7 linked regions of the Cricetulus griseus genome follow. The protein of the gene in region 3 interacts with the protein of the main gene of each other region in a pairwise test. Links are inferred from orthologs where the notes say so. Each region holds a gene or a part of one and is shown on either strand. Other genes may lie near its edges.

What was found.
Region 1: the proteins of Sh3glb1 (region 3) and Syp interact in binary tests that used the Homo sapiens proteins (3 or more experiments, as listed by UniProt). The link is inferred for Cricetulus griseus from reciprocal best matches to the Homo sapiens genes SH3GLB1 and SYP.
Region 2: the proteins of Sh3glb1 (region 3) and Ric8a interact in binary tests that used the Homo sapiens proteins (3 or more experiments, as listed by UniProt). The link is inferred for Cricetulus griseus from reciprocal best matches to the Homo sapiens genes SH3GLB1 and RIC8A.
Region 4: the proteins of Sh3glb1 (region 3) and Tpd52l2 interact in binary tests that used the Homo sapiens proteins (3 or more experiments, as listed by UniProt). The two-hybrid records come from large-scale screens. The link is inferred for Cricetulus griseus from reciprocal best matches to the Homo sapiens genes SH3GLB1 and TPD52L2.
Region 5: the proteins of Sh3glb1 (region 3) and Coq8a interact in binary tests that used the Homo sapiens proteins (3 or more experiments, as listed by UniProt). The link is inferred for Cricetulus griseus from reciprocal best matches to the Homo sapiens genes SH3GLB1 and COQ8A.
Region 6: the proteins of Sh3glb1 (region 3) and Arfip2 interact in binary tests that used the Homo sapiens proteins (3 or more experiments, as listed by UniProt). The link is inferred for Cricetulus griseus from reciprocal best matches to the Homo sapiens genes SH3GLB1 and ARFIP2.
Region 7: the proteins of Sh3glb1 (region 3) and Htatip2 interact in binary tests that used the Homo sapiens proteins (3 or more experiments, as listed by UniProt). The link is inferred for Cricetulus griseus from reciprocal best matches to the Homo sapiens genes SH3GLB1 and HTATIP2.

Annotation. Positions count from the first base shown.
Region 1 is NC_048604.1:114,106,486-114,110,764, reverse strand, and holds the start of Syp (synaptophysin), read right to left. Parts: upstream 2,850-4,279; coding exon 2,840-2,849; intron 2,784-2,839; coding exon 2,635-2,783; intron 1,706-2,634; coding exon 1,457-1,705; intron 434-1,456; coding exon 309-433; intron 1-308.
Region 2 is NC_048596.1:60,341,308-60,345,461, forward strand, and holds the start of Ric8a (synembryn-A), read right to left. Parts: upstream 2,901-4,154; 5' UTR 2,848-2,900; coding exon 2,764-2,847; intron 2,468-2,763; coding exon 2,420-2,467; intron 2,332-2,419; coding exon 1,741-2,331; intron 1,440-1,740; coding exon 1,348-1,439; intron 887-1,347; coding exon 736-886; intron 1-735. Other genes in the region: Bet1l (BET1-like protein), read left to right, coding at 3,912-4,154.
Region 3 is NW_023276806.1:14,444,304-14,447,928, reverse strand, and holds part of Sh3glb1 (endophilin-B1), read right to left. Parts: intron 3,621-3,625; coding exon 3,531-3,620; intron 3,083-3,530; coding exon 2,982-3,082; intron 1-2,981. UniProt on the Homo sapiens protein: May be required for normal outer mitochondrial membrane dynamics. Required for coatomer-mediated retrograde transport in certain cells. May recruit other proteins to membranes with high curvature. May promote membrane fusion.
Region 4 is NC_048599.1:395,786-399,410, reverse strand, and holds part of Tpd52l2 (tumor protein D54), read left to right. Parts: intron 1-1,488; coding exon 1,489-1,634; intron 1,635-3,625.
Region 5 is NC_048598.1:14,081,223-14,085,384, reverse strand, and holds the end of Coq8a (atypical kinase COQ8A, mitochondrial), read right to left. Parts: intron 4,043-4,162; coding exon 3,902-4,042; intron 3,538-3,901; coding exon 3,456-3,537; intron 3,353-3,455; coding exon 3,259-3,352; intron 3,066-3,258; coding exon 2,924-3,065; intron 2,747-2,923; coding exon 2,639-2,746; intron 2,505-2,638; coding exon 2,439-2,504; intron 2,261-2,438; coding exon 2,174-2,260; intron 1,432-2,173; coding exon 1,144-1,431; 3' UTR 592-1,143; downstream 1-591. UniProt on the Homo sapiens protein: Atypical kinase involved in the biosynthesis of coenzyme Q, also named ubiquinone, an essential lipid-soluble electron transporter for aerobic cellular respiration.
Region 6 is NC_048596.1:94,063,254-94,067,512, reverse strand, and holds the start of Arfip2 (arfaptin-2), read right to left. Parts: upstream 2,914-4,259; 5' UTR 2,764-2,913; exon of another isoform or gene 2,659-2,763; intron 1,984-2,658; 5' UTR 1,942-1,983; coding exon 1,843-1,941; intron 1,624-1,842; coding exon 1,527-1,623; intron 864-1,526; coding exon 745-863; intron 573-744; coding exon 351-572; intron 1-350. Other genes in the region: Timm10b (mitochondrial import inner membrane translocase subunit Tim10 B), read left to right, coding at 3,061-3,090, 3,238-3,333, 3,497-3,673. UniProt on the Homo sapiens protein: Plays a role in constitutive metalloproteinase (MMP) secretion from the trans Golgi network. May have important functions during vesicle biogenesis at certain cargo subdomains, which could be predominantly utilized by secreted MMPs, such as MMP7 and MMP2.
Region 7 is NC_048596.1:146,801,823-146,805,447, forward strand, and holds part of Htatip2 (oxidoreductase HTATIP2), read left to right. Parts: intron 1-165; coding exon 166-273; intron 274-3,625. UniProt on the Homo sapiens protein: Represses translation by preventing reactivation of elongation factor eEF1A. May also inhibit nuclear import by competing with nuclear import substrates for binding to a subset of nuclear transport receptors.

The sequences.
Region 1 (4,279 bases), on a different chromosome or scaffold from region 3:
ACTGTGCTACAGCCCCAGCTCTGTCATTTGCGTATGAATCTTATTTATTTCCTTTCGTCTATTCCTCTCTTTTGCCAAAATATAGCTAGAGAGGGTGACACCCTGTGTCTGTCTTGCACACCACATTGTCATAGAGATCTAGAGCAGTGCCAGTTACACAGCAGGTGTTCAGTGCACGGGCATTGATCCCAGTGGCTGTGGCCTCAAAGGTGTGAGCTCTGCAAAGGTCATGGAAAGGATTGCTCAGACCCACCCTCACCCTGCCCCTGCCTCATCCCAGACCTCAGGATACCAGGGCAGAGGCACACCTGAAGGGGTACTCAAATTCAACTTCGATGTTGAGGGCACTCTCCGTCTTGTTGGCACACTCGACGCTCAGCCGAAGCTCTCCGTTGTAGCTGCCACATGTAGCAAAGGCGAAGATGGCAAAGACCTTGGGTAGCAGGAAGGTGGATGGCTGTAGTGAGCCTGTATGCATGTGGGAGGGAGTGCCCTCCTCTGGACAGATTGAGGGGGGCAGCAGAGACAGCAGCAGATGGAGAGGTTCCCACCCCCACTCCCCTAATCAGGGCTCACCGGGTCCTAGCACAAGCTGATTACAGGGGTGTGGCTGTTTCTCTTTCCCCGTGTCTCTGTTTTTACCTCTAGGTGTTATGGCTTCTCCTCCCCTCTCCCTCTTCTCTCCCCCTTCTTTTTCACTCCTCTCCTCTCCCTTTCCTCCTCTTCTGTCACTCACTGTATCTCTGTCTTTTGCACCTCCCTCTCTCAGTATCTCTCTGTTTCTATGCATGTCCCTCCATCATCTTTTTTTTTTAAACTCTCTGAGTATATGCCTCTGCACTCTTGTTTCTTGGTCTGCTTGTCTGTTCTGCCTCTCACAAGGGCTCTATGGTTCTCTGTCTCCCTTGTGCCTATTTCTGTGCGTTGCTTTCTGTTTTTTTCTTTTGGGTGTCTCTTTATCTGTGTATGTCTTTCTGTCCCCTACCACATTTTCCTGCTTCACACCCAGTTCTCTGGCTCTCGTTTCTCAGCATTTCCATCACTGTCTCTACCATTCCCTGCCTCTCATTCTCTGTTTCCTTCACTGTCTGCATTTTTCTGCTTTGCATCTCCCCCTCCCTCTCTGTCTCTGTCTCTCTCCCTCTTTCTCTCTCAGCAGTCGCTTCAGGCTCCACTTCCCACCCCCCCATCCTTTACTTCAAGAGAAGAGGTAGGACGTCACAATCTGTCACTCCACAACAGGGGTACCCTCGGTCTTATGTGACGTCATAGCCTATCTGTTCCCTGTCCTTAAACCCCTGGGACCTTACTCTGCAGCCTAATTCCCTCATCTCCTTCCACTGTAGTCCTTTTCTGGCTTCCTGTCCCTCCTACATCCGTGCTCTTCTGGACCCCATTGTCACCCCCTCTACTTTCATTTCCCCACCCCACACCCCACACCCCAGACCACACTCACCCACTGCAGCACCTTCACGAAGCCAAGGGGCTCCTTGACCACCCGGAACTGACCCCCAGCCACCAGCTGAGGAGAAAAACAGCAGGGAGGGGGAAGGGTTGTGGGGAATAGAGATGGAGGTGAGGGGTCAGGCTGCCAGGCAATGATCCCTGGGGATAGGGCATGTGACTCCTGGGAGTGGGCGACATGTGGAGAGGGAGTGAGGAGGAGAAAATGATACTTTGGGGAAAGGAGTAAACACCAGGGTCTCAGAGAAACCCCCAGGGTTCAGGAGTGGTGAAGTGTGAGGTGATGAGTCACATGACAGAGGAGGCTGGGTATAGAAAATAGATGGGGTCCAGACTAGTTAGAGAAGGGAGGTCTGAACTGCTTAAAGGTGACTCAGATAGGGAAAAAGGTTGAGTGGAAGAAGATGGGGTTCATTAGAGTGGGGGAGGGGGCATTGAGAGATGAGGGTGAGTCACAACATCATAGGGAAGAGGTCTGCAGCGGTAAAGGTGAGTCAGATGATGGTGGTTGTGTCTAAGGAGATGCGGGTGGGGAGGGGTCGCTACTGGTTAGGGAGGAGACAGATTCTGAGGTGATGAAGAAGAGGGCGATGGCGGAGATGGTCCGGAATGATTAAGGTGGGAGAGAGCTGGGGCATGGATTCATTGGATATGCGCTGGGAATGAGAAGGCTGGGGGCTTTGGAGAGGCAAAATTGGATCGTCCCTCTAGATCTGCTCCCGAGGAAAGGGTGGTCATCTACCGGGGTGAAATCTCTGGGAGGGGCGGGTGCCATCCCTCCCCCACCCCGCCCCCACACCTTCTGTCGCTCTATTTCCTAGCTCATCTGCAGCCCCCCCCCCACCGCCCAAGTCTTCTTTTCATTCTCCCTTCCCCTGCCCCTTTGCCCTCTTCCTAGACCCAAGCTCCGGTCTTTCTCTCCGCCAGGTCAACAGTTCTTGTGGGCTCTGGCGGCCCCCTCTGCGGCAGTGAGGACAGTCCTCGATGCGGCAAAGAGCGCATTCCTTTTCTCCACCTTCCCCCCTCCCCTAGCCTGCAGCAAAATCCCCAACCCCAGCCCCAGTGACCATATCTCGACTACTCTGGTCACCACCTTTCAGGGTTGTAGGGCTAAAGCCACCCGGATTTCCCGCAAGCGCCGGGCTCTGTCCACGGTGCTGGAGCGCGTACCTGATTCACCACGTCCATGTCTGCCAGCAGCAGCATCAGCAATGCAGGGGGCGGAAGGTGCCTGCTAGCAAGGGCGGGCGCGGGGCGCGGCGGGGGCGGCGCGCGATCGTTGGAACAGCCCAGTCGGCGGCAGCCCCGCCCCTCGCATCCTGTATCTTTTTCGTGTGAGCGCCTGCGCACCACGGCACCCCCTCCCCAAGCTTGCCTGCGGCCATTCCACCCTTAAGTCTGGAGTCTGTAAATCTTAAGAGTGCAGGGTCCTTTCAGAAGGTAGCCGTCTGGGGATGGAGGACCTCTCATTTCTACGATACTTTGCCAAGCCGGGTGCTGTGTTGGTTACGTGTGTTCCCTCATTTAATCCCTATATAGCAGTGACTATTAGTCCTGTTTTTACAGATGAGGAAAATGAGTCCCCAGGGAGATTAAGTGACTTGCACAAGGTCACACAACTAGTAATCGGCAGTGCTCAGAGTCTCTGCAGTTTAAACGTCTCCACAGTTTAAAAGACAGTTGAAGGATTCCTTTTGGAAAATTTGCTTTTTAAGGCACATCCCCAAACTCTAGCCACCTCAATTTTTCTCTTCTTCTTGGTCAAATTATTGCCTAATCTAACTCTGTATTTCACCTTCTGTTTATTCCTTGGCCCCCTCTTTCAATACATTTATCGATTTTGTGTTAGCCTTCTTTTTTTTTAAAACTACATTTATTTAGTATGGAGAAAGGGATGGAGGGAGGGAAGGAAGGGGGCACTATAGTATAGGTGTGGAGATGAAAGGACAACTTGCCAGAGTAGGTTCTGTCTTTTCACTATGTGGGTCCTCCATGTCTTAATGGACTACCCTCTTTCATGATACTAAAACTAGGTCCATCAAGGTCGGTGATGATTGCCATATTACAAAATCCAAGGGATAAAATATAGTTGAGGTTAAGATGGTCAACCCCACATTAAGAAATGCATATAAAAAGCACTAAGATACTAAGTGCTAACCTATGAGTGCATCATCTTACACAGGTAATAAAAGATAATGGATAACTGTCAGCAGCGGGAAAGAACACCACTTTATACCCTCTGTATGCTTGAATTCCAAAACTTTTGAATGAATGTCAGTTATTTAATTTTGAGATAGTTCATATAGCCCAGGTTGGCCTTGAACTTCATGAGCAGCTGAGGATGACTTTAAATTCCTTTATCCTATTTCCTCTGCTTCCCAGATTCTGGAATTATAGGCATGTACCATTATGCTATCCCTGACTCTTTTTTTTTTTGTTGTTGTTGTTTGTTTTGTTTTTTCCAGACAGAGTTTCTCTGTGTAACAGTCCTGGTCATCAATCTGTAGACCAGGATGGCCTTGAATTCAGAGATCCTCCTGCCTGAGCCTCCCAAGTACTAGGATTAAAGACGTGTACCACCACAGCTAGGCTAGCTCTAGCTTTTATACTTTTGTTTTGTTTTGTTTTTGTTTTTCGAGACAGGGTTTCTCTGTGTAGCTTTGGAGCCTGTCCTGGAACTCACAGAGATCTGCCTGCCTCTGCAAATCCCAGCACTATTCAGTGCTGGAATTAAAGGTGTGCACCACCATGCCTGGCCCCTACATTTATTTTTAAAAACACATGTTATAGATACTTCCCAGTTGTTTGAGTTTTG
Region 2 (4,154 bases), on a different chromosome or scaffold from region 3:
TATTCAACACTAGCTTCTTTGTCCTCACCCAGCTCATAGGTGCTGAGCACCCTATGGCTCCTCGGAGATCTAATGAACCTCTATCTATGGCTTTCATCTGTGTGAGCTCCACAGGATAGGCTAGATCACCAGCTCTCTGGTCCCATATTATAACTGTAGGTGTCAGGTAACCCTTGGTTATGTCTCCTTAAGATGCAGAGGGACAACGGGGGTGGGGGTGGAGGTGGGGGTTGGGGTCATTCCTTTAATCCTAGTACTTGGGAGGCAGAGACAGGCTGATCTCTGAGTTTGAGGTCAGCCTGATCTGCAGAGTGAGTTCCACGACAGCCAGGGCTACACAGAGAAAACCTGTCTTGAAAAACCAAAATAAAAAATAAAAAACAAAAAACAAAAGATGCAGGACAACTAATGCTGTCACCTATGGCTGCCAATGTATGGGAACATTAGGGAAGCAGGAACCAAAGGCTTCTGAGAATCACTTAACAGGGAACTGCAGAGACCTAAAAGACAACATTCACCTTGGCAGACCCTGAGAAGCCTGCTTTTCTTTGGGAATCAGCAGCATTGAGGTCCACACACAAGCTGTATCCACAAGCTTCGGAGAGGGTCTGACTGAATAGCTATCTCTGGTGGGGCCACAGAGCAACCAGAGAAACTGTCCAAGTTATACCTTCAAGCTGACCTCTCTCCCTGGTGCAGAAATGGAAGCCACAACATAGCAGGTCCTCCACCTACCTGGTGCAGACGCTTCTCTAGGAAGGCAAGAAGGGCACTGATCACTTCCATATTGACTCCCATAAACTCTAAGGATCCTTCGTGTAGCTCCAGGGCGAGAAGGACATCCAAACATTTGAGGGGCAAGTTTCCCAGGAGATTCACCGTGTGGCTGGGGACAGACAGAGGCCTTGACAGAGTAACTCTAGCACAGAAGTAATCCCCGGCTCCTCTCCTGGGGTATACATGATATGGGGGACTGAGGACAGCACCGAGGACTAGAGGCAAGGGCAGGTAGTACTCCATTCAAGTTTGGTGGGGAGACAAACTTCTGCCTGTCCCATTCTGTCTGAGCTGAGATACCAAGTCAGGTGAGGTACTTATTGGTCACCACCAGCAGGAACACCATTGCCTTACAATGCCAGGGCCACCATTGTTTCCACCTTAGCTCTTCCCCTAGTCATATTCTGAGTTCCTGGGGCTCTCTGGGAACACTCTGGTTTCCCATCCCTCTGACAGTCATACTCTTACGGTGGGACCTGGTGCTTCTACTGACACCTAGGGCTGAGGACTAGGGTACCCATGCCTAAGTACTCTCCCCACTGTCAACACACGGTAAGTCCTGCCCCTTACCCGTGGAACTCCTCTGTGCGGTCTCCAGCAGCAGCAACCATCACACAGTGCCGCAGAAGGGTCCCCAGGTACCGGTAAAGGGCAGCATCTTCCTAACCAAAGACAGAAAATGGCTCCTGTAAGGAGGAGTCCCCTGTTCCAGTGCTCCAGGGCCACATGGAGCTGATCACTTGGCTTTGTCCACAGCACAGTTGGTGACCTTTGGCCACCTAAAGCCTTCCCACAAACACACCCCCACAACACAGCTCAGAAACCTTCCTTGGATTCCCTGCCTTGATGTCCCATTATCCTTGCCATGTCTGGCACCCAGGAAGTTGAGGCAGGAAGGAAGCAAAACCACAAAACTGTCCCAGCTGAGCTGAGTCCCACCCATGACTTCAGGCTACAACTTACCTCATCCACCTCCCTCTTGACAGAGTCAAAGGTGATGTTAAAGAGCACTTTGAGGATCTCCATGGCCCGCTCTGTCTCTTGGGCCGGAAGTACCACCGGGGGTTTTTCTTTGGGGCCCACCCCCAGCGTCAGTTCCAGCGCCTCAGTCAGCAGGCGCACACCGTGCAGCTCCTGAAACAGTTGCTGGCGCACATCAGTGCGAAGGGCAGTTAGCAGGAAAAGGAGCCTCAGGTCAAAGAACTGGACTTCGTGGGGATAGCTCCTTTTGCGGTACAGTCCCACACGCTCCACTAGCCTCACCACCAGGCGAGCCTCTGCTGCTAGCATCTGCGCTGCGGGGCTGCTGAGCACGAGATTGCACAGGCATTTGAGAGACTCGAGTAAGACATCCATGTCTGGGGGCTGTGGGATGGGCTCCTCTGAGATGGTGATGTCAGCATAGCAGGCTAGTGCATGGAGGCTCTGGCGGCTGGCAAATGAGTCCAGGCAGCTGCGGTCTCGGGTTAGGATTCGGATAGTCTGCAGCCAGGTGACACGGTGTGACGGTGACAAGCCCTGCTCCAGTAAGGAGACCAGCAGCTTTGCGAGTCTCTGTGGGGAGGGACAAAAGTGGATCCACCAGTCCCTCTTCTTGGGGCAGCCCATGCCTGCCCTAGGAGCCCCTTGGGATGGCACCTACCTTCCTGTCCTCCTGTTGGGCATCATCGAAGGTGAAGCTCTGGGAGTGCTGCAGGGAGGAGACCCAGTAGGCTCAAGTCCACGCGCAGGTAGGACCTGTGCTCCTCGAGTCAGGGCAGCCGGTCTGCTTTTACCTCTGAGGCAGCAGCCATTGCTCTGAACGCAAGGCAGGGCCCACCACCCTCGCTTCCCCTACACCTGCCCCACCACTGAAACCCCCGAGGCCCAGCCCGCCTCCCAAGGCCGTGCTCCCTGCCACACTCGCACGCACACCCCGGCCGCGCTGCGCGCACACCACTGCTTCCTCTCTCCAAGAAATTTCCTCAGCAGCCGGGTGCCTCTCACCTCCCGGTTGAACGACTGCAGAGCTTCTGTCACTGTGTCTTCCTCTCCCGTCTCCAAAGCATCCGCAACTGCCCGGGGCTCCATGGCCCCTGGCACCGGGTGCTGGAAGGCTTGGGCTGGGAAGACGCAATCGGCCAAACCCGCGGGCTCCGCCCAGGTCCGGAAGCCCCGAGTCCACGCGTGAGGGATGCCGGGAGCACAGCCGAGCAGAAAGGGTGTGCACAGGCGTGGGGCGGGCCTCCGGTTTAAGGTGGAGCCCACCTGGCCGCGATCGCCGAGCGGCTCGTCTTGGAACAGCGGCGCTAGCTAGCCAAGTAGCATCCCCTCGCCCCCCTTTTCTCCCTCCTCTCTAGCAGGCGTGGGGCGTGGAGGTGGGGTCTCGGCCCCCGCATGGACCGCCCTCCTTACGCACCGGTCAGGGAACAGGGAGAGAGATGAAGGGAGCACTATCTTCTGGTCGCTTAGTCAGCTGGAGCCCCACGGTCCAGACCCTGAAGCTCATGCTCCGCGGGAAAGACAAACACAACGACTCGGGTGGTCAAAATAAAGCGGATAGCTCGGCGAGGTGGCGCACGCCTTTATCCCAGCACCCGAGAAGCAGAAGCAGGCAGATCTGTGAGTTCTAGGCCAGACAGGGATACATAGTGAGACCGTCCTTAAAACAAACGAAAGACCGAACCATCAAAAACAATGTGGCCATCAAAGGAAAAAGAAAGTCCCAGTGTATGAGGAAGGGTCAGAGGGAAGCGAAAACCACCCGGAGAAAGCCACTCCCATGGGAGGGGCAATGGAGGGGCGGCCAGCCGCGGCCCGTCAGTGTGAGAGGCGTTCCAACGCTGGGTAGAGGGTGGGTGGCTGGGGAGCCGGGTCCGCACTCCGCGTGGCTGGAGGCATGGTCGGTGAGAGTGTACCTCGCGGTGACACACAAGCCATGCTCCAGCGGATGATCTGCCACCCGCTGAGCTAACCGGCGCGTGCCCTGCGCCTGCTCGGTGTCAGGCCCTGGCGTCTCCTTCGCCAGTCTCCTTCAGTTCTGTCCGTCCTCCGCATCTTGTAGTTCTCACACTCGGGCTTCCGCAGCGCCCGAGGCATCCGGCAGCTTTACCGAGCCGGTTTCCAGCCTCAGCTCCCGGTTTGTGCCCGAGCTCATGCTCCGGGTACCACCCACATCTCGGGACTACTATTGCTGGCCAATCCGCGGGCACGAACGCAGGCGGCCCGCCCTTCCCTTATTTACATTCCATGGAACAACTTCATTTTTGTTTCTTCCGCTCCAGTCCCTTCTCCCGGAAGTTATTATACCTGAGGCGGAACCGGAAGCCTCTTCCAGGAGCCGGTGCCACGTCCGTCGCTGTGCTGCGGTGTCCCAGAGTGGGGCTCTGGAGGGCGAG
Region 3 (3,625 bases):
TGTTGAAGCCTGTCCCGGAACTCACCCATAGTGTCAGTACTAATGTATCCAGTGTGCCAGGAGAAAAAGAAAAACCTGTGTTGTCTTACATTTATGAGTAGAACCCCTTAGGTGGGCCACAATGCTGCCTGGCAGTTATATATTAGGTCTAGGCAATTCATTTCTGGTCTCTTGGTGATTATTTTATATCCTGTCATTTACCTTCAAAATGTCAGTTCTGCACCCGGCTGACAGACTGATGAAGAGGACTAACAATGAGGAGAGTGGCCCTCACTCTCTTACTATCGACGCTGCCTGTATTTGAGGGTAATCCCTTTTCAGGTTCGCTCAATTGAGACTTGGAGATTTCCCTAGTCATTCTTCCCTTCGCCCAGCATCTTTATCATCGCATGGCCCACAAACCCACTGTTGTTTCTAAATTTAAACAAACTGCAGATCTTCCTCTCTCCTCTGGCTGCTGCCGTTCTGTTCTTAACACAAGAACTACTTGGAAATCGACCTCAACTTGCTGTCACAAATTCCTTTCAGTCTCTCATGTAACAAATAAGCTCCACCCACTGTTCAACCAGCTGTCTCACAGATTTAACACTCTGTGACAAGATGAAGACTCTGCCCTCCTCTAAGTCACCACCTCGGCACAATGCCCTGACACACCCTCATCAAAAGGAAGCTCTGCAAGGTGATGCCCACCTTTCTAAGAACTTCAACATTTGAAGCAACACCAATCACTGTAGTCAATTAAAAGATGACTGACTTTGTGCGGACACCTGTTTCCTTCTGTGAGCACTGAGCACTCACAGTGTCCATCGTGTGTAGTGGTGAGGACTATAAAGTCTATGAATAACACGTATAAGGGGTATGGAAAAGATCTGAGTATAGCTTAAGTCCTTCAGAAGTAACACATGTTATCCAGCTACTACTGACAACAATCCTATTACAACATGGCTCTACTCTCCAGAAATAGCTTTTGGGTTGGTTAGTGTGACATGGATGCTTTGTTATTTATTATTGTTAAGGTCTGCACGTAAGATAAAGTGTTTTACTATGTAGACCAGTTTAGCCTACTGCCTGAGCCTCTGAGTGCTGGGATTTCAGACATATAGCATGACATCGAACCTGTCTTGAAATAAACGAAAGGGTTATTAACATTTCTCCCACTCCTGTCACTGGTCCTTAGCAGTCATACAATTCTTGGCAGAGAGGCAGAGTGGGCAGCCTTCACCAGAACAGCGCAGGTTTTACTTTGTATGGTGCTTCACCTAGAGTACCAGCGATAAAACTTTGTTTGAATGGCCAAGTGCCAAGGACTTCGTGGCTTTAAGAGAATGAAATATGAATGGCTAACAAGCACGACTCATGTGCTGGCCTTCCAGAGTGTCACCACACAGTGCCAAGGCTTACACTGTTCTGTCCTTGGATATGCACACCACTAACAAAACACTAAGAATGCACAATGCAAACTAGGCAGGCTACCAGATCTAAAAATAATAGGCTACAGTTTATTTTGAAGATCTAAAATTAGCTTTGTGATGTTACCTAACTTTGGTGTAGGCCTAAATCTGAAGGATAAATTTGCAGAATAAACACTGTAGTGACTCTTTTTAAATGCCAAACTTCTTTTTATGGTTTACTTTTAAGGCCATTCATGGTGCAACTCCGTTAACTCCTCCAGTCTTGCATACAACTCCTTTCTCCACTAAAAAGTATGCTCTCACTAGAATGAAGTACTGTCAATTAACCAACTTGCTGCTTCCCTTTCCTTGGTCTCCTGGTTTATAACATCCACCTTTGCCTTGGGCTTCCTCTAGATGACTTCCACTAAAATAACTCCACCTGGGAAACTTGTAGCTGGGCCGTAACTGGTGTCCTCACAACACCCTGCTCCATCTATGTGTCACATGGCTTGTCTACCCATGGCTAGTACTCAGAATTCATACTATTTCCAACATTACCTTACAATGAGAGCTCCATCAAGGCAAGTATCCTAGCTTGTTTTGTTTGCTGATGTAACTCAAGAACATATTTGGGGACTATGGCAGGTATTATATGAATATTTGATAATTAAATGACTCAAGTACAGACTTTATATACTATTTTGCTTTAAAGTACATTACTGTACTCGAAATAATTATGTAAGGGACTTGAGGTCTTCAGACTATTCCAAAATTAACAAATTAATGAATCAGCTTACCTTTAAGGTAACAAAGCATTAACGTAGCTGTTTCTTTCTTCTTCAGCCAAAAGCAAAACATATTCAATAGTAAAAGAAAAGTTAAGCCTCAAATGTACCTATCATTTTCTTTATATGGCACTAAAAACAATTCTCCTAATTACCTTCTCATCTCTGGTAACAGATTTGTGCTAGGAAAGCTAAAAATGTAACCTCTGAAGTCTGATAATTAAAAAAAGGAATTGTGTACAAGCTAACAAGTCCTTAACTCTTTCAATTCTCACTCTCGCTACTGGCTCATGTATAAAAATCTTTCAGTTTTTAATTAAATATCTTTATTTTTCTGTGGTGTGTGCACGTGTGTATGTGATGGCGGGCACCTTGAGGTCAGAGGACACTTTTCAGATGCTAGCTCCGTCCATCATGTGGGTCCTGGGACTTGAACTCAGGCCATTAGGCCTGGCAGCAGGAACCTTTACTCAGTGGGCCAGGCCACCAGCCTCACATGAAAAATCTGAACTTATTAAAAAATTGTGTCTTTTTTTGTTACTGTGCAAAGTCATGAGCTTTACCCCATCATTTTCATGTGTGTGTCTGCTTTGTTTTTCTTCATTTCTCTTCTCCAATGCCCTCCCTGGTGTTCCTGGCCCAGGAAGCATGGCTTCTCTTGTTTCTTTCCAGCATCTTGTTGTCACAGTGCTGGGATCTACTAGGTCCTCGTGCTTGTGTGCCTAGTGCTTCCCCACAGAGGCTCCTTTCCAGTCTCCACTCTCCCCATCATGACTTTCATTTAGGAAAAGGAAATTGCTACCTTCCCAGTTGTTTTTGGAGGTCTAACATGTACTGGTAACACTGTGCATAGTAAGTCATCTGGGCTTCTACAAAGTCATTCAGACAGCGGAGATGATGGGCCTGGAATGGAAAAGTTGCAGTCAGTTCTCAGAAGTTCTTCAAGTGGCGCAAGCTAAGGCAGAACACAGGATAACACTGCTGTGAAGGAGGTAACCTGTAGTATCCTACTGTAAAGCTTATTAATGCTCATATTCTGATCAGGCTCATCAAAACTAATTACTGGTGAATAATAAACTGACAAACTTTGTTTATCAAGAAGAGCCAACATGTGGATTTATGAAATGGGAAAAAAAAGGAGTGATGAAATGTAAGAGAAAATTTAAGTATTTCTTCAGATCCCTTCTAAAATCTCACACTTGAAACTTTCCTTGACTGACAACTGACCCAAGGAGCTCTCTTTAAAGGCAGTGTCTGTATGCAGCTCAGGGTGCCTTTAACTTCACAAATTCCTCCCTAGCTGCCTAAGTGCTGTCTCAGCGTCTTTTCTTGAGGATGATTTAATACTCACGTGGGTACTGCTGATTCCCTCCAGCAGAAGTCGGGTAATCTCTGCCTGACGATCAAATTCACTTTGAGTTATTCGTAATTCCTGTTCAGACTTAA
Region 4 (3,625 bases), on a different chromosome or scaffold from region 3:
AGCAGGCTGGCCTCGAACTCACAGAGATCCACCTGCCTCTGCCTCCCGAGTGCTGCGATTAAGGGCATGTGCCACCAACACCCGGCACAAATAAGTAAATCTTTTATTTTAGTTTTTCTTTTTTTATTTTATGTTTGTGTTTTGTCTGCATGTATGTCTGTGTACCTTGTGTGCTTGGTGCCAGTGGAGGTCAGAAGAGGACATTGGACTCCTGGGAACTGAAGTGACAGGTGGTTGTGAGCTACTGTGTGGGTGCTGGTAATTGAATTAAGGTCTTCTGGAAGAGCAGCAAGAGCTCTTAGCTACTGAACAATCTCTCCTGCCCCATAAATAAATAAATTTCAATCAAGAAAATGCCCTACAGACTTGCATGAAAGAAGCAAAAGTCAAAGTCAGATTCTTTAAAAAAAAAAAAAAATACAGTTAGGTGTGGTGTCACACTCCTTTAAACCCAGCACTAGGGCGGCAGAGGCAGATCTCTGAGACCAATCTGGTCTACCGAGTTCCAGGATAGCCAGGGCTACACACTAAAACTTGAAAAAAAAAAAAAGTCTGTAAAAAAATGTTGTCACCTACTGTTGAGCAGAACATCTTGTTTTCTAGTGTTTTCAATGTGTATTTAGAAGATTTTAGAATTTGTGCAGTTGACAAACTTATATGTGATTAAGATGTTTTTCTTTCTGTTCTATGCTTTTAACCAAGCTGGTGTTGAACTCACAGATGTCTGCCTGCCTCTGCCTCCTGAGTGCTGGTATTAAAGATGTGAACCACCATGCCTGGTAAGAATGGTTTGCTTTATGTGGTATCTTTTGAGATAATCGTGCAGATAGGAGGATGTGCCTAATGTCAAGAAAAAATGGTGACTCCAGGAACTTGAAGTGTGTCTAGTATGCTAGGTGTGTGAAAGAATGCACTCCTTCCTCTCTTTGTATATATGGCCATCTGTCTGTGAGAGGATCAGGGATGGGATTAAAGGTGATTTTTGTTTTGCTGATTCATTACTGGGGCTGGATGACTAACATGTATTCCATGTATGTAATCTTTAGCATTCCTTGAGTTGAATGGAAAGTAACACTTGCTATATTTACTTCCTTCATGCAAAAAACAAAACAAAACAAAACAAAAAAAAAAACCCAAAAAACCCAAAATAGAAACTTTATTAGATTGGATTGGTTTCTTTGAAGTAGGGCTTCCTGCTGTAGAAGATAATATTTTCACAAGGGAAACCAGAACCTGTGGTTTGGCTGCCTTCACTGGTGTTTCTTGTACTCTAGCAGCACAGGTGGTATTGAGTTTGCATCTCAGGTGCTCAAGAAGTAGCTGTTCTCCGTCCAATGCCCAGCTCATTATCATAGGCTTTTAGAGATATTTCTAATTTCTAGTGTTCTCCTGCCTTCTTTTGGCCACCAATTTCTTTCATTCTTGCTTCTTCCCTAGTAGAGTAACAACTTACTTGACACTTTTTGACTTCATTTTTGTCTCTGACAGATATCAACCTGAATTCTCCTAACAAAGGTGTGCTGTCTGATTTCATGACTGATGTCCCTGTTGGCCCAGGTGTGGCCTCCCGAGCTCAAGCTGTAGAGGGCCTGACAGAGGTGGAGGAAGAAGAGCTACGGGCTGAGCTTGCTAAGGTGCCTTGGTTTTATTTCCTATTCTGGTGTGATGATGAGACCCTTTGGGTTATGCAGAGAGTAGAACATGGCTTAACCCTGTGACAGAGCTGTTGCTGGGGTGTTACCTGCATTCTGTGTCTACTGGGCTATCTCTTTTCATGTGCCTATTTGTAAAGTGTAGACTTGAATCACCTGTTGAAGGCAGGGCCTGATCTCATCTCACCACTCTGTCTGGAAATACTAGGTGCCCCATGAAGAGGATGTCTGCACAATAATGTGTGCTTTAGTTTGTTTTAGGTTGGCCTCTAATTCATAGTTCTCCTGCCTCTTCCAAGTGCTAGGATCACAGGCAAGTGGCACCATGTTTACTTTTTTTTTCCTTCCTTCCTTCCTTCCTTCCTTCCTTCCTTCCTTCCTTCCTTCCTTCTTTCCTTCCTTCCTTCCTTCTTCCCAAGACAAAGTTTTCTGTTTAACAGCTCTGGCTGTACTGGAACTTACTCCCTAGGTTGGCCTCAAATTCAGAGATCTGACAGCCTCTGTCTCCTGAGCACTGGGATTAAAGGTGTGCTCAACCACCATCCACTCTTTTTTGTTTTGTTTTTTGTTTTTTAGAGACAGGGTTTCTCTGTGGCTTTGGAGGCTTTCCTGGAACTAGCTCTTGTAGACCAGGCTGGTCTCGAATTCACAGAGATCCGCCTGCCTCTACCTCTGGAGTGCTGGGATTAAAAGCATGAGCCACCACTGCCCAGTGCTCTTTTTTTTTTATCTTTATGATTAGGGATTTCACCCCATATAGGGTCAAGCAATTGTCTCCTGGGACTGTAGTACTGTACCACTTGGCCTGACTGAGAAGAAATTATTTTTCAGTGTAGCTATTTTACTATGACTAAAACTATTGGGGAAATATTCCATAGTGGGAACCCTTCAAAATTATCAAGAATCTTTGTTAGCCAGGCAGGAGTAGCACATTCCTTTAATCCCAGCATTTGGGATCTCTTCTCTGATCTCTGTGAGTTTGAGGTGAGCCTGGTCTACAAATTGAGTTACACAGAGAACCTCTGTCTCAAAAAATGTCCCCCCAGTCTTTTAGTTTGCCATAAGAACAAAGGACAAGTGGGCGGTAGTGTTACATGCCTTTAATCCCTGCACTCAGGAGGTAGAGGCAGGTGGATCTCTGAGTTCGAGGCCAGCCTGGTCTACAGATTGAGTTCTGAAGGTCAGGGGTACACAAAGCAACCTGTCTCCAAATTTGGTGGGGGGGTGAGAGAAGAGGGGCGTGGAGAATGAATGAGAATGAATATTACTCTTCTGTTGAGTAACTAGCTCTCACCAAGGCTTGGAGTTGACCTCTGGAACAACAGTTGCCATTAGAAAGCTTCTCTGTCCCCTAAGTCTCTGTCCCTCTGTCAATTCTGCTTCCTTTTTTTTTACTGTACAGGGGATTCCTCAGTGGGTCCTCACTTCTAGCAGATTCAGTTGCTATATCTAAGCCAGGCCCAGAACCCATTGGAAAAGAGACTTGTGTCCTAAAACTCATGTCCAGTCTTATGGAGAGCTCACTTCCCTTAAGCTCCTGAGGCTTAAGGGAAATGGGAAAAGTGGGTTTACAGTCCTAGAGAACTACTGACTAGAATGGTGGTAGAGTTTTCCAGAAGCTGGGGTGCTGATGCCAGATAAAAGCAGAACAGCTGCCATTGTGGGTACTATTTTTAAGATAGTGTTTCTGTAAGTGAAAACCTCTAAGAAAGTCTCATTATGGGCTGGAGAGATAGCTCAGTGGTTAAGAGCGCTCACTGCTATTCCAGAGGATCTGAGTTCAATTCCCAGCACCCACATGGCAGCTCACAGCTGTCTGTAACTCCAGGTCCAACAGATCTGGCATCCTCACACAGATATATATGCAGGCAAAACATCAACACACATAAAATAAAAATAAGTTATTTAAAAGAAAAAAGTCTCATTACAACCTATGTAAAGATGTTTGCTGGTCACTTCTTGTAGTAGTCATA
Region 5 (4,162 bases), on a different chromosome or scaffold from region 3:
GTGGCATCTGTGCAGAGTAGGACTTGGCAAACTTTCCATGGTCTGTGACACATGGACAAGAGCACCAGGTACCAGTAAAACTTCTTAAAAGGCATAGTGAGCTGTTTGGTGCAGGGTGGTAGTTAGCCAGGCCCCTAGTCAGATTTAGCATGACCTTTAAGAGCACACTGTTCCTGTCCAAGCCCTAATGCCACCTCTAGTGCCTGCTGTTCTGTAGCCACAATCTACAAGCTTGTTTTCTCTAAAATGGCTAAGAAGCCTGGTGGCTCAGACTTGTGGTCCTAATTACTTGGCAGGCTGAGCAGGAGGGTTACAAGTTTAAGGCCTGCCTGAATATCTTGTTGAAATCCTGTCTCAAAAGTAAAAGGGCTTCACATCTGCAAGACATCAGGCTCAATCCCCAGTGCCAGTGAAGCCTTAAGGTCAGAGACACAAATGCAAAGAAATTCTTAATGTCTGCCTGAGTTGTCACATTCTGTCCCCACCAAGAGCAATGTAAATTCTAGATGAGAGACCTTTACAGGTAAAGACCACCACCCAAGTCATACGTGAGGCCACCTCATTCCCAGGACTCACAGAACACATAGGAAGTGGTAGTCCCCAACACACTTCTTTATTGAACGTATGGGTGTGAACATCTGATGATAAGACAGACAGAGCCTGTGTTGATCCCCGGTGCGGGGTAGTAACTACCTCTCCTGGAACATGCTGGAGCCCGCTGCTCCTCCAGTGACAGCCCTGCTTTGCTCTCAAAAAGGATCAGTTGTCCATGCTGAGACCCAGCTAGGGTGGCTGCCCTACTGTCCTGAGCTTCTAGCTCCAGGCCACCGGCTGGGGTGGCAATGGGCAAGGACACACGCTCATCCAGAAACACACAAAGCTTCATTCTACATGGCCAACTAGACCCCAAAGGTAGCTAGGCCGGCTTTAGTCTTCTTTGCTCCGTGTTCCTGGTGGACATCCACAGCAGGGAGGAGATGGCACAAGAAGCCTGCCTTTTTGTCTAGACAGTACAGAAGCAATAGTGGGGTCTCTGCACTGCTCACTTCCTACTCATGGAGGTGCTTCCGCTCAACACCCTCCCTCTGCTTGGCTGAGCCTGAGGGAAGGCATGGCCCCTCATTAGCCTGGCCCATGCCTAGTCTACTGCAGCCCGGACTTCATCCTGCAGTAGTTACTGTAGGCTTCCTCAAACATGGTCTTGCAGGGGAAGCGGGCCTTCAGCTTGGAGCAGATGAGGAAAGAGCCGCCCATCTTACGGTGTAGGGAGTAGGTCTCCTCTGGTGGAGGGATGAGGCGGTGCTTCAGCATGACGGGGATCAGGTTATGGATCTTCTCAGTGGTGCTCTGGGTGCCAAAGTCAAAAGGCTCTTCTGAAGCAAAGGCTTCCCCCAGGATGAGGATGGCATCCAGATGGGCATCCTCCATGGCCTACATTGAGACGAAGGGCAGAGGTGAGCGGGTCACAAGGCTGCAGCCCCAGATCCCACCACAGTTTCTAATCTTAGAAACAACTGCTCAGGTCTGGAGGGCATGAAAGAAGCAGTGACAGGATGGTTTTGGTTTTAATCAAACAATGGTATTAGGTACAACTCCAACCCTCAAAAGCCAGGCAGACACAGTGCAGAGGCCTTCGCTCCCTCAGCATTCACTCCTGTCTTTACAAAGTTAAACTACAGATCCCACTCTTGTGAGGAGTGCTGTGGGAGCCTCCCCAGTTCCCAGCACACAGCAGTAGTCACCTGCCAGATACAAGAGAAGTAACTGTCACCAGCAGAGCACTGGAGGGACAAGGGGCACCCACGGGGGGACAAATGAAGCCAGCTGCACGCAGGAGGCAGGAGGTCAGCTTGGTGTGCACACCCATGCTAGCAGCCAGTGTGAACCCAGGTCAGCTCCCTGCTAGGTGCTAGGTGAAGAGGCTCTAAAGGCCTGGGGTACTCTGCCCACCCAAGCAAGCCACCCCCTGCCTCCTTGCCACCAGGATGGGCAGGTGGCACCAAGTGGTATACCCTAAGCCAAACCGTCTGCTCCACTCTACACCCTTCCTACAGAGTGCTGAGTTTTCACTATGCTGGGCATAAGGAGGGCTCCAAGAGCAGCTGGTACTTAGGTACCAAGGGAAGACAGCCATGCCTACAGAGAGAGAGCTGAGCCTGGGTGGTTCACTTACCTTGACCTCATAGCCAGTGAGGAATTTCATCTCTATGGACTTCTTCAGCACTGCCTCCCTGTCCTGGTCAGCAGCAGCCCGGATGACCTGGAGAGAACAGAGAGGCTCCTGCCCTATCACAACCCTCTTGTATGCCTGCCAACCCTTGAACTGGGATCCACAGCCAGCTAGGTGGACCTGACAGGCTTTGGCCAGCTCCAGGAGGCTCTCCCACACTTTCAATCCCCAGAATTGGCTCTTGGCCTCTGAAATACACTGGTCTTACCTGGATGTAGAGGTCAGTGAAGGATCTGTCATATTCCCGAGTTGCCCCAAAGTCCAGGAGAGCCACCTGCAGATGGAGATACAACACTGAGGTTCTGCCCTATGCTTCTTGTGAGCATAGAGCAGCCAGGAGGACCACCGCAGAGTCTCAGCTCGAAAGTCTCTGCTGAGACCTTCATATGGGGTTCAGCTGGGGCTTACCTTGTGCTGCTGAGGGTCATAAAAAAAATTGGACCAGTTGGGGTCAGTCTGCATGACATGGAACTCAAACAGCTCCCTTAGGCACAGCACCAAAATGTTGTAGCAGATCTGAGGACAGGGTAGGAACCTGGGTCAGGCAGCTTGTGACCTCCAAAGTCTTTGCCCATCCCAAAAGAAGGATGCAGTCAGTCATCACCCCCTTGTCCCACCTCCCCAGGAAGGGCTTAGGGTCTGTTCACACCATTTAGGTACCCAGCACAACAGCTCAGCACAGCTTGAGGGTACCTCATTCCGGACTTCCTGGCTCAACCCTTCTGCCTGGTCCAGGGGGAAGCCTGTTATTAGCTCGGTGGTCAGCACATGGGGACTGCATAGCTCATCCACAATCTCAGGCACATAGAAGAAGGGGTGATCCTTCAGAAGCTCCCTGTGTGAAGAGGGGGCTCACATCCAGTCTGGACCCTCCACAGCCCCCCAAATGGAGAGTCCTCTGGGGGAAACCTACTCTGCAGTTGGGAGGATGTGGCTACCACCTGGCCCAGGGCCATCCAGCCTTAGAAACAGAGGAGCCTGCCCACTCTGGTGCCCCTCAGCCTCCTGAGGACCCCTAAGAGCCACACCTGAACTTCTTGGCATAGGCAGCTTCCCGTTGGTAGTCACACTCAAGGACAAGCTCCCTCCTCAGCACATCAATCAGGTGCTCAGGGAACAGGCCTATGCCAGAAAGGGGCATCAGGTGGGATGAGGGCTCTGCAGGGCTTTCCCCTGCATTCCCATAACCCCACCCGTCCATCTCGGGCCTGCAGCCCAGCCTGACCTTCTGGAAGCATGTTACTCATGTTCAGCACAGCCATGAGGTTGTTGACATCGCTGTTAATGCTCTGGGCCACACCAGGGTACTGAGAAGAGGGAAGGGGGGTAACTAGGGAGGCAGCAGGGCAGGCTGTCCTGCCTATTAGCGTCCCAGCAACTTGTAGCCAAGACTAAAACAAGGGTGCCATGACCTGACCATCTCACCACCCTGCTCTCCATGTCTCCTTACTCTAACCACACAAAAAAAGCCCCAGGTTCCAGCATAGGCCCCAAAGGCCATCCTACACCAAGACTGCTGGGAAACAGCCCCAACCCCCAACCCCTCACCTAGCAAACACTTGCCCAGCGCCAGGTGCTAAGAACAGAAAGATGGTATCTCAGGAGAAATGGGAAAGGCCCCACCCTCTGAAATCCCATGAGGGCAGGCACACACCACACAGGGCCATCTACCTGGATCTTCATGGCCACTTCACGGCCACCCTTCATGCGGGCCAGGTGCACCTGCCCTATGGAGGCAGCTGCAAAGGGCCGCTCCTCAAAGTACTCTAGCTTGTCCCTCCAGTGGGGGCCCAGGTCATTGTTGAGGGTTTTCTGGAAAGAGGCCAGGGAAGACAGGTGCACAGCCTGGTTATCTGGGGTACCCTGATATGCACCCAGCTTGCCGCCACATCTTGGTCCTTAGATCCCAGGGTCAAGCTATTTCCCCCACCT
Region 6 (4,259 bases), on a different chromosome or scaffold from region 3:
ATGTGGGAGTAGAGTCTTAGGTAAGTTTAGAAGACAGGAACAGGGAAAGCTAGTGCAGCAGGCAGGGGAGGGACTCTGATTAGGCCAAGCACCAAAGGCATTCTTGATGATATGGAGAAGGGTTACTTGTGAGGCACCAGAGCGCCCTCTCCCACAACCCCTCCAACTTTTGGACCTCTGTACAAACCCTTAGGCTGCCTCCATAGGTGAGTGATGCTGGGGGCAGGACTGGGCACACCCCAGAGGGGTTCTCCCTGGGGGCTGCAGGAGGGAGGGAGGGAGGCTGAGGAATGCCTGCCTGGAAGGGCCAGGGCCCAGTACCCCCACCCTCTTTGTTTTGGCTGAGGCACCTGAAGCTCTGGGGACTTCTGGCTGAGGTCAGCAAAGGCATCCCCTAGTGCATGCTGGGTCTGCAACAGGCTGTAGAGGTGGGCTGTCAGTGCCCGGCCCAGCTGAAGGACACTTTCATACTTGCGCTTCGTCTCACGCAGCAACTCAATCTGCAGCTCTAGCTCCAGATCCACAGTCCGGGAGCCTCGGCCAAATCTCTCTGATAACAGCTGCTTTGTGCACTGATTGGGAAGTGGGTGGGAGGTCAGAAATCTAAACTCCACCCCAACCCCGACAAGTAACTACTCCAACACCCCCATTCTCTTAGTCATAGCAAAAGACTATGTATTAAGATCTGGGGAAAAGGAAAAGGTACCCATGGAGAGTTTCTGGGAAGAGGCACTCGACTCTTACCTTATATGTGTTGATGCCCCATTTCTTGACGATGTCAAACTTCTCTCCGGCGATGCCCCGGGCCACCTCATCACCAGGGCCAGAAGGTGAGGTGCTGTGAGATGGATGGCGGCCAGACCCTAAAGGATCAAGTTCTCTAACACCAATTTCTCTCACATACAATCAGATACTTCTGTGACCTCACTTCCTTCCCTCCCAGCACATGAAATGACCTCTCTAAAAGAGGAAATCTAGATAACTGAATTCTTCTGCTCATTAGGGGGAACGGGGACTTAGGTCCCGAAAACCAAAGCAACTCAATGTATGTATTTGGCATTCCTGGGGTCGTGTAGGAGTGTTGTTGGGTGGACAGGGAAGGAAGAAACAGAAGCAAACATGATGAGTGGGACTGGAAGGGTCAAAGCTGGTGGGCACAGAAAACAGGGAAGCTGGTTTGTATTTCCAAGTAGAATTTTAGTCAGTATAAGACTCTTATAAAACTCTGAGAAGCTTCACAAAGTTGTAAATCAGCCTTAAGCTGCAGAGCTCTTGTGACTTATAGGTCTTAACTTGGCTCAGGTGGTGGCACCAGGGAAAGAAAAGACAATTGAGAAAGCTAGAATCTAAATGGCAAGTGGGAAGCAGATGATGAGCTCAGAGAGCTGATCTGGGATTGGACAGTCTATGGATTTCACACTAGCAGTTCTCAAGTTTCTCCAATCCATGATTCACGCTTTCCTATGTGTTCTATGTGCCTCCTAGTCTCCCTCCCACTCAAGCCTCCTGTCTCTTATCATTCATACCTGTGGGGATGAGTCCATCACCAGAGCCCCCATAGCCACCAGACACAATGCTAGTTTCATTGAGGTTGGGTCCTGACACCATCACCTGCTGGAGGTCCTATAGATCAGAGAAGAGGGGGCACTTCAGGAACATGGGGGTGGCTGAAATATTTTGGGGATAGAGACAGTATATAGTAAAGTCTGTATAGAATCATAATGACGACTTGAAAACTATAAGGAGGACTAACTAAATGAAGTCTATTGGGATGGGAAAAGCGAAACATTCAAGAGTCAGGATTGCTAAATTGAAACAATTAGAAGAATCAAACAGAAGCACCTGCTCCAGCCCATCGTCTTCAGGAAGCTGCCCAGCTTCACCATTTCCATGGATTGGGATCTCCATTGTGGCTGCCTTCCCTAGGATCCCGTCCGTCATGGCTAGGGAAGGTACTGGAGTCAAGGTCTCCACCCCAGCACGCTGTAAAGCCCAACACAGACAATTCTGGAAACTGGCCAGCACTCCAGAACAAGGAGGCCTTCCCTGTGTTCTAATAGGTTTCAGGGGTTGTCTGTTAGGACTTGGGTGTCCCTGGAGATCAGCCCCTACTTTCCTGGAGATGTGTATTTCTTCTCTTCCAAGTACATTATTTCTACAGATGCATGTATACCAAAGCCTTGGGTGTCTTCTCACAAACCCCAACCTCACCTTTAGTAACCTTTACACATTCAGTCACTCAACAAACACTTAGTGAGTGCCTACTATGCGTCAGATACTGAGGCAATGGGATTACAGCAGTGAGGGCCAGAGGGGAATGTCTGTGCTCTTTGGGAACTTGGCCCTGCATAGGCATGTTTACCAGAAGGCAAAACCCTTTCCTAGACTCGGATGCTCACTTGCCACTCAAGCATGCTCTGCAATCCCTGGTCTTTCAAATCCTTTGATGTTCCTTCCCCTCTTCCTTCAAATGGTCTCTCCTTTCTCCATCTCATGCACCTGCCTCCCTCAGGCCCTCCCCACCAGGCCTTAGTTGAAGCAGCTGGTGTGTTCCCGGTGTCAGTTAAAAGCTTCTTTCCCAGGACACAGGCAGTCCCTTCCAAAGTCAGTTTATGCCTTCCAGATGTGAGAGGTCCCCTCCACCACCCCCCCACACACCTGGGCATCAGGTGTGTCCTCATCCTTGCCAAGGGCTCAGGGCATCTTGCCCTCCGCACAGGTTCGTGCATTCAACTTCCTTTCGTACAAGTATGTCCTTCTCACCTGGGCCGGGCCACTCTTCCCCTCAGGGCGCGAGGGCCGGACCGCGCGGGGACCTCGGGTTCCAGTTCCCGTCGCGATCTTAGCAGCAGGTCAGAGATTCGGCGGAAGTGACGTGCCCTCTGGGCAGAAGAAGCCGGCCACGTCGCAGAGCAAAAGGGCGGAGGTGACGTTAGCAGACATGGGCTGGGCGATACTGGAACCACGCCTTGAAGCTCTTGGTGACTAGGGAGAATTTACTTCCGGGGTGACTCCGCGCCCCCAGGGAGGAAGTAAAGTGGGCTGCGTGCCCCGAGCGTGATGGAGCAGCAGCAGCAGCAACTAAGAAACGTGAGTAAGAGCTAAGTTGTTCTCGGGGTTAGACGTGCGGTTTGTTTTCTGGGGTACATGCAAGAACCCCCAGTGGGGAAGGCAGGCTGCACTGCGCACGCCAGGAACCCTCAGCGGTGGTGAAGCCTTGATCCGCTTTTCTCTTAGTTGCGAGATTTCCTGTTGGTCTACAATCGGATGACAGAACTGTGCTTCCAGCGCTGTGTGCCCAGCCTGCACCACCGAGCTCTGGACGCTGAGGAGGTGGGGACTGTGGGGACCCCAGAGGTTGACAACGTGACGTGTCCACCTCCCACCCCCCGTTTGCATCTCGGTCTCCCATGACCTCACCCCTAGGCTGGGGCCCCGGAGAGGAGGGCTTGACAGGACCCCTTTTGGTCTCTGCTTACCTCTGTCTTCCTTCCAGGAGGCCTGTCTACACAGCTGTGCTGGGAAGCTCATCCATTCTAACCACCGCCTCATGGCCGCTTACGTCCACCTCATGCCCGCCCTTGTCCAGCGCCGCATCGCGGACTACGAGGCTGCCTCGGCCGTGCCAGGTGTTACTGCAGAACAACCCAGAGACTCGCCATCAGGCAGCTAGCCATCGCCTGCCCCAGGAGAGAAGGTGCTTGGATGGGCTCCTCTATGAACCTTGGGCTTGTCGAAATTTGTACAGAAAGATTGAGCCTGAAAGCTGGGCACTATTGCTCCTTTTCTTGGAGCCAATAAACCGGGTTTTTACTCTGGTTGATTTTCTGGGCAGGAATTTATTTATGTCCACTTATTGGTACCAACCTTTATTCTGCCATTTAGTGCCTATCTTCTCCCCTCAGCCCTGGCAGTTGAGAAATTGCCTTCTGTAATGTAGTAGGACAAACTCAGCATTCTCAGATCCCCAGCAAAAACATAGTTTTAAGGTTAGTAATAGCAATGGGAAATTGGTTCCAAAAGGGGAGCTCTCAGTGGCTATCCTTGAGCCTAACTCAAATGCCTGAATATATATTGCATAATAACTAGTTTTCTTCTGAGCTGTAATACAAAAAGAATTGTGCTGCATCTAGGGGAAGAATGTGATATCAGACAACAAGAGGAAGAAGAAAACAGCACCACAATAGGCTTTAGCCACCAATTCTTAGGAGATCAAAGATAAGCCTGTAAGAATGTGGGAATATTGTCTAGAATTTCAA
Region 7 (3,625 bases), on a different chromosome or scaffold from region 3:
TTTGTTTGTTTGTTTGTTTTGTGGAAAAAGGGATTTGGTGTATTTCATGTTATGAATTTAGACCCTTCCATAATCATTTGTCATTTATTCTGTACATCTTGAAGGGTGTTTTGTCTCTTTCTTATATGTATGGAATTACATGCCACTGTGCCCTCCTTTGTCTAGAATCAAGAAGTGGTGGACTTTGAGAAGCTGGATGACTACGCTTCTGCCTTTCAAGGTCATGATGTTGGATTCTGTTGCCTGGGCACCACCAGGAGGAAAGCTGGAGCGGTGAGCAAGAAATGCCCTTGTCTCTTCTCACTGGCCAGTGCTATCAAGGATCTCTTCCTTCCTTTCTTTCAAAGATTTATTTTATTTCTCTTACATGTTTGCTTGTTTGTGTGTGTGTGTGTGTGTGTGTGTGTTTGAGTGTTATGGCCATAAGAGACTTCAGGTGCCTGCAGACTCCAGAAAAGGGCATCTGAATTACAGGTGTTGGTGAGCTACCTGGCATGGGTACCGGGAACTGACTTTGAGGTCCTAACTGCTGAGCCATCTTTGCAGCCTGGAGGATTCCTTTCTTGCTTTTTCTTGGGTCATACTGCAGTGCTTAAACGTAGAATGTGTTTAAGATTCCATCTATATTATACATGGGGCATTGCAGATAAAGTTGTCTTTGGAATAACCTCTGAGTTCAGTCCTGAATGCCAGTTACATCACAGATATTTGCATGACCCTGCCTATGGAGATACTACAACCATCACCACATCCCCTGAGTAAGGATAGCAGCCCACAGTCTCTGGGCAAAAGTAGTTGGCTCATATGTGGGTGGTAAGCTTTATGTTTCTTTCCATAATGAATGTTTTAGGCTTGAAGCATTTTCTCTCAATCATTTGCTTCAACCTGCTTGCAAGCCATCCTTTAAACTTGGGAACTAGATCATCAGAACCCAGAGGCACGATTCAGTCAGCCCCCGTGATGACTTAGCCGTCAGCAGTGATTCAGCCCAGGGATGACTCAGCCCTCACTGACGCAAAACTGCTTTAATACACATTTTATTTTCTCTTTAATGGTGTGCTAAATTGAGTCAGCCCCTATCCAGGAGCTATAGTTTACTGCATAGTTAAAAGTCAAGGTATATAATACAGATCCTGGGCAAACATTTTTACATCTTATTCAGTTTAGATCTTGAGTATTGTTTATTTCTCTGACAGGATTTGCTTGCTGGAGTCCACATATCTATTAAACATGGAGGGGATTGATTCTGCCATAATGATTGTGCTAGCCACTTTTTCATCACTGTGACAAAATACTTGACAAAAGCAACCTGAGGCAGGAGAGGTTTATTTTGGCTCACAGTGTGAGGGGTCAGTCCATCTAGGAGGGGAGGGCCCGGTGGTAGGAACCCCAGGCAGCTGGTCCTCTTATGGCCTCAGTCAGGAAACAGAAAGATGATTCAAGAGCCCGGTTCATCTTCATCTTTCATTCAGTTTCGGACCCCAGTTGACAGGATGGTGCTACCCACACGTAGATTGTGTCTTCCCACCCCAGTTAACTAAATATAGGTTTGCTTCCATGTTTGGTCGAGTTGACAAAATTAACCTTTATAGTGATTTACACTAGCTTTTTTTTTGTCTTTAAGATTTTATTTTTATTTATTTATTTTGTGTGTGTGTGTGTGTGTTGTGTGCTTTACAGGTACCTATGAAGGCCAGGGGTATGGATCTATCTGGAACTGGAGTTAGAGGCAGTTGTGAGCCTCGTGGTATGTGGAATTGAACTCAGGTCCTCTGAAAATGCAGTATCTGCTCCGAGCCACCTCACCAGCCCCACTTATAGCAGTATTTATAAATCAGTAGATTGATGTGGTTCTGAACTGCGGTTTCTATGAGCAGAGTAGTGGCTTGGTTGTGTCTCTCTGGGCTTCTTGTTGCTACAAAAGGTAATTCTAGAAGTGGTTTCAGTTGAGACGGATGTTTGTGTCCTGTGCAGTTTTGCACTTCCACCCTGGGAGCTCAGGGCTGGGAACTGGATTGCAGAAAAGTTCTGCTTTCCCAGGAATTGAATTTCTTCCTCTAGAAGGGGTCCTTTCCTGCTCAGCTAGTGCCGTCCTTTCTGCCCTAGGTCGGTGTAAGAAGTGTGTCCTCCAAAAGCAATGAAGAGCCTTTGTGTCCCGCACACTGCAGCTTTCAGCTTCAGGCACAAGTCTGACTTTGGCGATGACTCAGCAAAGTGAACTGCTGCATTAAGCATAGAACAAGACAAAATAGTGTGTTGGGGAAATGCTAAATGTCGCATTGAAGCTGTAGTTCTAACCAGAGGAAAATAGTTTTTTAATCTGAGTAGCTCCTACCTCTTAAACTACCCTTTTGTTTGTCTTTAAAATCAGTTTGAAAAGATAAAGGTGTTAATGAACACAAAAGGGCAAAGAGCAGCCAGGTAAATAGTCTGAGAAATGAGTTAGTAGTCAAAGGACCACGAGGATGTGCAGGAAGTGAGCTGATGCTGCCTCCAGAAGTGTGTTTTCCAAGCACTGTAAGTTCTAATAATCTTGCTTTAGCTTGCACATGGGCCAAGAGAAGGCTGAGACACCCTTGGAAACCAAATATACCTTGAAGAACAAAAGTCAAAGACACTGCTGGGCAAATGCAGTTCCCTTGTGTGCAGTATAAGAAGGCTTTGGGTACTGAGTGCGTAGTTTCACCCCTTCCTGTAGCTCTAGTTTGCAGTGAACTCTAGCAGCCCAGGTTTGCGGATACTGTCAAATGCTTGATGCTGTTAAAGTGACTAATGCAGCTGTTGCAATGTTTACTAGACATCTGTAGGGCCTCGTGGCTTCTGGTTGCTGTAATACACTCTGATAATCCAGCCTGGGAGCTGAATGCCACTTGGCATCAAGTTTTGTATGGCCTATGACCAACAGATGTCTTTAAATGGCTGAAAATTTTATGCCACTTGAAAATGCAGTAAGTTCAACTTTTAGTATTCATAAATAAGGTTTGGTTAGAACATACACAGGTTCATTACATTTCATATTTTGTATGGCTACTTTTGTGCAATAGCAGATCAGTGTAGGTTTTTTTTTTTTAATCTTTCATCTATTTCTCTATTTTTTTTCCAACTTTTTTTATTTGAATTAGAAACAGGATTGTTTTACATGACAATCCCAGTTCTCTTCTCCCACCTGTCCTCCCCTACCGCCCCCCACAAACTAAAACCCTATCTATCACATATCCTTTCTGCTCCCACAGGATGGTGAGGCCTTCCATGGGGGGTCATCAGTGTCTATTGTATCCTTTGGGATAGGGCCTAGGCCCACCCCCATGTGTCTTGGCTCAGGGAGTATTCCTCTATGTGGAATGGGCTCCAAAAGTCCACACCTATGCTAGGGATAAGTACTGAACTACAGGAGGTTCCGTAGATTTCTTAGGTTTCCTCACAGAAACCCATTTTCCTGGGGTCTGGATCAGTCCCATGCTGGTATTCCAGCTTTTAGTCTGGGGAGCAAGAGTTCCCGGATGTTCAGGTCAACTGTTTCTGTGGGTTTCACCAGCCTGGTCTGGACCCCTGTGCTCTTCACTCGTCCTTCTCTGCATCTGGGTTCCAGTTCAGTTCGGTGATTAGTTGTGGGTTAGTGTAGGTG